2 linked regions of the Arabidopsis thaliana genome follow. The protein of the gene in region 1 interacts with the protein of each later gene in a pairwise test. Each region holds a gene or a part of one and is shown in the gene's direction. Other genes may lie near its edges.

Region 1 (3,927 bases):
AAATCTCCTACCCTAGGTATATGGTTCTGCCACCAAGCAAGTAATAGAAATTAGCTGACAAGAGAAAAGACAGAGCAACAAAAGACGTGTTAGCACAAATATACCTTTCGATGCTTGCCAATGATATTTCCATTATTCCCTATAATCACAGCGGTATTCCAAAGCACTTCACCGTGATCAATATCTCTTTCGAGAATAGGACTAACAATCACCATGTTATACTTTTTAGCGAGTTCTTGAAGAAACTTTGTCGATTCGCCATCAACAGGCTCTGCAAACTCACACCATCTCCTCTCCCTAGTGCAAAATGCAAATGGCATGGTCCAAGCTTCCTATCGATAAAACCATTCATTCCCCCCCAAAGAAAAGGTCAAAAACAATTGAAGTAACAACTTTTCAATAAAAGAAAGCAAATGGAGGCAAAACCTGCAAGCACAGTATGTTAACACCAGCAACACCCGCAGCATCGATTATCGGCTTCAACTTGTCGAATATTCCTCTTGTTTGGTCCGAGAATGGAGCAGTGGTTGGAAGAGCAATGGAGTTTTGAATGAGACCAACTCTGACCACTCGAGGATTTCTCATTTGCTCTTTATCAGCTGAAAAGCTAGCAGCCTAGACAATATTTATACAAAGATCAAATCAAATCAAAACATTGTCTCAATCTATTAAGTTCAATGATCTGATCCTATAACTAACGAAGTATAAACCTGGAGATCAAAATCATGTTTTGAAGACAAGGCTTTAGCAGACTCCGGCAGAACAATCTGTTCAAGCGATCTCCCACAGTTACGTCCAAGGAGCAACCGGTTTACCTCCTGCAAATCCAATCATCAACAATCCATATTTTTTAAAGCTGATCAACATAACTAAAATAAACACTTGAAACCACTAGAACAAAAGATCCATAATATCATCATTCGAATTAGACAGGCTAATCAAAAGCGAGATCAAACACACTAGAAGAGTAATTTAGTTTGGAGGGAGTGGATACGTCACCTGATAGAGCTCGGGCTTAAGATTCGCTGATAAGAGTTGATGCAGCGAATCATAGCCGCAAATCGATCCTTCGGCACTTGTTTCTCCGTTTTCTGATATCATATGATCCATTTTTTCACGAGTCTTTTTCGATCACGAAACCAAGATGGCGATGACTTTTATGACAACAGTGATCGATCGGTTTGGTCAATTGATTACGAATTATTTTCTGGGAATCGGAATGTAATATTTTATTTTAGTTAGGCTGTCCAGACCTAAAGCCCACCAGATTATATTTTAATTCTTAAAAGAATTATTGGGCTTTACAACATCCTAAAAAGCATCTGTATTGGTGGTTTTTCGTTCAAATCTCTCATCTACAAAAATAAAAATAAAATAGTAAATAATGTTTTTTTTAATTAAAAAAATCTCTCAGTAAAGATGAGTGAGTCTCTCATTTGAGAGATTACAAGAAACTTTTCCAATTGTTTAGAGAAACTGTCCTAAGAGAATAATATTACATCTTATTTTATTAATATTTTTTGTAAGTGAAAAATTTAGAAAAAAGTGTTCCGGCCCATTGACGATCCATCACATTGCACATATTATATAAAATGAAAAGGACCAAAATGCCATTGACGATCCATCATGTTGTTGTTCCGGCCCATTGACGATCCATCATGTTTTCGTCCTTTTAATTTTTAGATCTGTATTTACTCTTTACCGATAAAATAATAAATAAATTCAACGGGGAGAGAGGAAAAACGAAAGGGAACAAAAAGAAATAGGGGATATGGTAGGCGGACGCGGCGGAGTTGGCGGTGGTGGTGGTAACAGAGTGGAGGCGGATCAGTGGCTTGTAACATCGGAGAAGCTTCTAGCGTCTAGTGATCTTCAAGGAGCAAAGACATTTGCGATCCGCGCATGCGAAGCTGACCCGACCCGAGCAGAAGCTGCAGACTACATCCTCGCAATCTGCGACATTCTTCTCGCCGGAGAGACTCGTTTAGGTGATTCCAACTTGCCAGACTGGTACGCCGTTCTCCGACTCGGTCGTTTAGCTCAAAACCCTGAACACGTCGCGACTCAGTACCGTAGACTCGCTCTTCTCCTCAATCCTTCCGTTAATCGTCTCCCATTCGCCGATCGAGCTCTTAAAATCGTCTCCGATGCTTGGTTCGTTCTCTCTGATCCGTTCAAGAAATCATTCTACGACCGAGAATTGCAACTTAGTCAACTCGGTCAATCTGGATTCCATCCTCAAACCCAATCGCATCAAAATTTCCAGTGGGAACCTAGCAGTAGCACCGCCGTATATCCGCCACCGCGGTCTCAGAGCCAGGCTGGGACCTCGGCGGATCCTATGGCGACGAGCTTCTGGACCGCTTGCCCTTACTGCTTTGTACTCTTTGAGTACCCTAAGGCTTACGAAGAATGTACTTTGAAATGTCAAGAATGTAGAAGAGCGTTTCAAGCTGTGACGATACCAAAACCTCCGGTGGATAAGAAAGACGACGAAGACGTTTACTTTTGCTCATGGGCTTTGTTTCCATTGGGGTTTTCCGGTGAATTTCAAGCTCCAAGTTGGTCACCTATTTCACCTCTCTTTGCCTGTCCTCTGCAAAAGTTGGATGGTGAACCAAAGAAGAGAAAGGAACCGGGTCCTCCTAGGATTTACTATGACGATGATGACATTTATGTTGCGATTTCGGATGGAGATGACGCTGGTGATGATGGTGATTGGCAAGATGTGGTACAAGTGAATAAGAAGACGAATGTTGGGAAAGGGAAAGAAACATATGTGAGAAGTAACAAGAAACATGGAGTTGAAGAAGTCCAAAATGTAGAAAGTATCAGTAGTGCTAGCAATCACGCGGTTTCAATTGCTTCAAATGCTGCGGCTGTTGGGTCTTCAACTGGGGTTATGTCTAAACCAGGGAGTTATATTACTAGAAAACGAATGGGAACAGGCGCTAAGAACCTGGGGAGGTTGGATTTGAATGTGGAGTTTAGTAATGAAGTGGAAGAGCCTGGTGTGGCAGGTGGGGGAAATGCAGGCAATGGGATCGGAAGTAACAGGGAGGTAGATAATATGGAAGGGATTGGGTTCTTTGAGGGACTTGATGAATTCTTGAATAGTTTGCCCATACTTTCTGTTGTTGGAGATGATAAGATCAAGGCTACTTAGTGAAGTAAGGCTTTTTCCTCTCTTTGTTTAGGTTGCGGGTGTTTCGTTGTTGTAGGCCTTAGCTTTTATGTTTCCTGTTGATGTTTAACTGTAGTGGAAATACTAGCATTTTGATTCCTTGGAATCCCTGTAGTTGGAATCTGTTGATGTTATTTTGCTCAAAATTCGGATGCTTTCGTCGCTTTCTGGTATATAGTCTTCTGCTTCTGAGTTCTGAGTAAAGGCATTAAGATTATCTTTCTCGGGTTTATTAGACTATAAAACCTTACTAGCCAAATGCCTTATCTAAAGTAAAGTGAGTTACTTATCCTGCTCAGGTTTCATTTTGTTCCAAAAGAATTATGTTCCTCCAACTCAAAAGGCCATAGAGCAGCAAATTGCAAAACATAGGTGGTTTCCATGTCGTAATTGCTGCTTCTGTTCATTCACTAGATAACTTGTTGTGTTCTGGACTGACAAACGAAGAGGGAAAGTGACAACACACATTGCTTGCTTCATTCATCCTTGATGCTTTGAAAGGTAAGGAAAACAAGTAAGCTTTTTGTCAAGAATTTCTTGCTGGGGTCTAAGGTAAAGACCTAAACGGCTATGTAGAGTTTTTTTTGTGTAGTCATAGTAGCTAGGTATTCTCACTTACCTGTAATGAGTATTCTGCAGAATCTAGAAGATACAGAAGCTATCCAAGAGGTGATTCGTGCACGTTATCTGGCTTTTATACGCTCCAGTTGCGCAGTGAAGGTTCCATTGTCTGTTCATAAAAG
Region 2 (3,927 bases), about 22 Mb from region 1:
TTATACGGTCGAGAAAAAATGTTAGGTTGGTTGAAGATAGGTTCCGTTCCGCCCTTAATATATCTTATACAAAAAGATAAGATCATTACGAATATGTGCTCAATTCCTTTTCCATAAAGTTGGGTATTAAATTATGAATATTATCTAGAAATTTTAGAGGGGTGTATATAGTGTGCTATTTTCGTGATAAAAGTAAATAATGCATCCAAAATTCAAAGTGGATCATTAACACGTTTTGGTATATACATCACAATTTGTCAAACCCGTAATTAATTGCGCCAAACAAGAAAAAATGATCTTATGGGGCAAAAGTAAATCACATATATGGCAGTGGGAAGAAAAAAGGAGATTATATTTTTCCCCTAAAATAGACTAAAGTAACAAACCTAAATTTCTCTGGAAAGAATTATATCATAAAACCTCGAAGCCGACAAAAACTAAGAAAAAAAAAAACAATTTACCGAAGAAAGAATATTATTAAAAAATACAGGAACAAGGAGAGAGAAATGTGTTATAAAGGATAAAGCCCACTAAAGGTCATTCACTTATCTAACTGTATACTATTATTTTCTTCGAGGCAATATATAAAATTTACTTGATCTAGTAATTTATTTTCACTAAGGTTTAGTATTCTTATACATTTGTATAATAGTTAACACAACTTAACGATACTTACTTCTAATATGTATCAACACGTACGTACAGAGCCACGTAAAGAAAAAAAACACACACACAATCGCTGTCGAACAGTTAAATCCCGAATCTAGATTTGTATTAGTTATCTAATCGTATTATTGTTAATTCCGAAAGTAGAGTCAACATCCAATTAATTGCTTTATCAAATATCGAATATGCAAAAGGTCTAAAGAAAAACAAAGTTTTTTTTTGTTGTTAAACTTTGCTTACATCATAGGTATCCCATTAGGTTGGTGTACCATGTGATGATTCTACCACCGAAAAAACAGAAGCCAATATTAAAAAATACATCTATATAGTACATGTACAATAACAATAATTAAGGATTATTGTATTATATTTTAAGAAAAAAACTAAATAGGGTTATGTGAACCAGACTTTTTTTAACACTTTTACTGTGGTAAACTTTGGAAAGGGAAAAAAGAGTGTTAGGGTTAATATATGTATATATAATTCATTTATTGGGGAAATGGGCTCATCTAGGGTAACATCACCTACCCATACAATTTTATCATGCTTTTAGGGCTTTTATTTATCTCACTGGTCCCTCAATTCCTCCACTCTCTCTTCCCTTCGCGTGAACAACACGCTCCAATGTCTCCCCTTCGTATGTGCCGACGCTCCTTACCTCTCCGCGCCACGGACGAAACGTGCCCACACGCGAAAAGTAAACGCCGTGACATCCACGCGCCTAGGGTTTTCTTTTCATCAGGACACAAGTGAAAAATGGGTTGTGATAAGAACCGCACATTGCGGCCACGTGGTTAATTCTCATTGGTTTCTTGTGCCCCATCCTATCACACACAAAAACGTCTAATACGATTTAAATAAAAATCGGGTTCTTTCCTAATATAAAGAAAAACACTGAGATCTTTTACTTAATCTTGTTGTTTAATTTCTGGATACTGTTCCCCTAAGCCAGCTATTTTCTACTAATGCTCAGATTTCTTTCTTAACTAAACATATGCATAAAATTTTCTCCTTTTATTCACTTTTGACAGATACAGAGATACAAAGAACAGATACAGAGATGTACAAATACAGATACGTGTACACAATAGAAGTAAAAAGATACGTAACTTTGTTTCGTGTAATTGGAAATAGGCAGACCAGATGGTGACATGGCATTGTCATGTTCCATAGATGAGTTGTTCTTTTTTTAATATAAAATTATTACAATAAATTAATAAAAAGATTATTTTATTGAAATTAAAACCCTTATATCGACGCAAAGCCAAACAAAAAAAAAACCCTCATTTCAAGGATAAGAGAGCTCCACTTTCTCTCTCCTCTCCTTTCTCCAACAGTCTCTCTCTACAAGCCATAGGAAAAAAAAAAAAGTCCCCCTTTCTCTCTCCCTCCCCTTTCGTCTTAGGGTTTCTCGAAAATTCGCAGTCAAATTCTACTCATCTCCCGACGAATCCATCCTTCAAGCTCATCTAATCTTCTTCTCCGTAGCTTTCTCAATCTACCGATATAGTTTTTATCCCTTGCCGCTTAAGATCGAGCTCGAATCTCGCAACCCCTTTTAATCCCTAATTTCTGGTCGGATTAACCCAGGTGCGTTGTTTCCGACATGAATCTCAGATGTGTTTCGATTTAAGGTTTGAGCTAAGGTTTGATCTTGTTGGGTTGAGATTTGGTCTGACTTGTAGCTGACTTCGTGTCTTTTAAGCTTCACTGTTCATTTATACGTCTATCTTCCTCGGAAACTCTTGATGTTCTTACTTTTTTTTTTTTTTTTTTTTTTTGGGGTTTCGTCTTCACGGACTATTCACGTGCGGATAGATCTGACCCGTATTAATTGGTGGGTCTTGGTTAATCTTTGTTAATCACATACGGTTAATTTAAGTGGTTTATTATCTTTTAATTTTGTTCTAATTTTGATTTTAAACCCTAAATTACGCTGATTAATAATTTGACCTTTCTTGGGTTTTGTAATTCCGAAATTATATTGAATCTGGTCCGATCTTCTTTTTTCTTTTGCTGGTCATGTAGATAAGGTTACAGCTTTGGGGTTTCTCGTCTGTCTGAAAAACCCTAATTTTAGGTCGTCTAAGTTTAGGTTTACTTACATGTTAATTGTTAAATGTATAAAATTCACTTGCACGATTAATTTTTTGTTATATTAGCGTAATTGAATTGAGATGCTAGTATAGAATTTCATTCTTGATTTTATGTAGACCTTAGGGTTTAATTTTTTTTTATTTGCCGTGTAATTGTGAAGTTTGATGTTGGTTATGAATGTTATTTTATGTGGGATATTCATGTGAAATGCTTTAACACTATGTTATAGATTAGTTATATTTATTGCTTGAATAAATTTAGAGTTATATTTGGTGTCGTATATATGGAAAGTTAAGATTTATGTCTTGATATACAACAATAATGTGATCATTAAGCACAATTATACGATGTGTTATATAACTTGTTTTGATGTGTTGCTTTTGTAGCTCTAGTTGCGGAGAGAGTATAATGGTGTATGAAAGTTAATCATCACTGAGGCATAGTATCTATCTCCTTCAAGCAAATCAATGGGATCTTCCATCAAGATCAACTCAATATCCATAGATCTCGCAGGTGCTGCCAACGAGATTGATATGGTGAAATGTGATCATTTTTCCATGCGGTGAGTATAGTTTGTTGACCTTATATCATCAACCTCTCTTGCTAGAGTATGTTTATATAGTAGCAAGCTACAAGATGAAATGACATGAATAACCAGTTTTTCTTCTCTGCAGTGGATTCGTAGCTGAAACTCGTGAGAGAGACCTTAGAAAATGTTGGCCGTTTTCAGAAGAGAGTGTTAGTTTAGTAGACCAACAAAGCTATACTCTTCCTACTTTATCTGTTCCAAAGTTTAGATGGTGGCATTGTATGAGCTGCATCAAAGATATAGATGCTCATGGGCCAAAAGGTATATCACATTTCCAATATTGTTTTTTATGTGTCTAAAGACGTGTCTACTTGAACTTATGCATTTTGAGTTGCTTGCAGATTGTGGACTGCATTCAAACTCAAAAGCTATTGGAAACTCTTCTGTTATCGAAAGTAAAAGCAAGTTCAATTCGCTAACTATCATTGATCACGAGAAAGAAAAGAAAACTGATATTGCAGGTATGCATCTGCTGAGTCTTGGTTCAGTTTCATAATCCATAGCAAAATCTTAATCATTTTGTATTATCATGTTTTTCAGATAATGCTATTGAGGAGAAAGTGGGTGTAAACTGT

Evidence for each region.
Region 2: the proteins of EIP9 (region 1) and EMF1 interact in a two-hybrid assay, tested with the Arabidopsis thaliana proteins (one study listed by BioGRID).

Annotation. Positions count from the first base shown.
Region 1 is NC_003076.8:25,736,447-25,740,373, reverse strand, and holds the start of EIP9 (Chaperone DnaJ-domain superfamily protein), read left to right. Parts: upstream 1-1,697; 5' UTR 1,698-1,771; coding exon 1,772-3,166; 3' UTR 3,167-3,170; exon of another isoform or gene 3,171-3,483; 3' UTR 3,484-3,927. Other genes in the region: BETA-UP (beta-ureidopropionase), read right to left, coding at 1-26, 105-332, 427-615, 711-818, 1,000-1,110.
Region 2 is NC_003076.8:3,693,910-3,697,836, forward strand, and holds the start of EMF1 (embryonic flower 1 (EMF1)), read left to right. Parts: upstream 1-1,882; 5' UTR 1,883-2,256; exon of another isoform or gene 2,257-2,503; intron 2,504-3,149; 5' UTR 3,150-3,230; coding exon 3,231-3,325; intron 3,326-3,437; coding exon 3,438-3,613; intron 3,614-3,693; coding exon 3,694-3,813; intron 3,814-3,892; coding exon 3,893-3,927. UniProt on the Arabidopsis thaliana protein: Transcription repressor that regulates phase transition during shoot, flower and seeds development. Controls leaves development, shoot architecture and flowering by delaying both the vegetative to reproductive transition and flower initiation.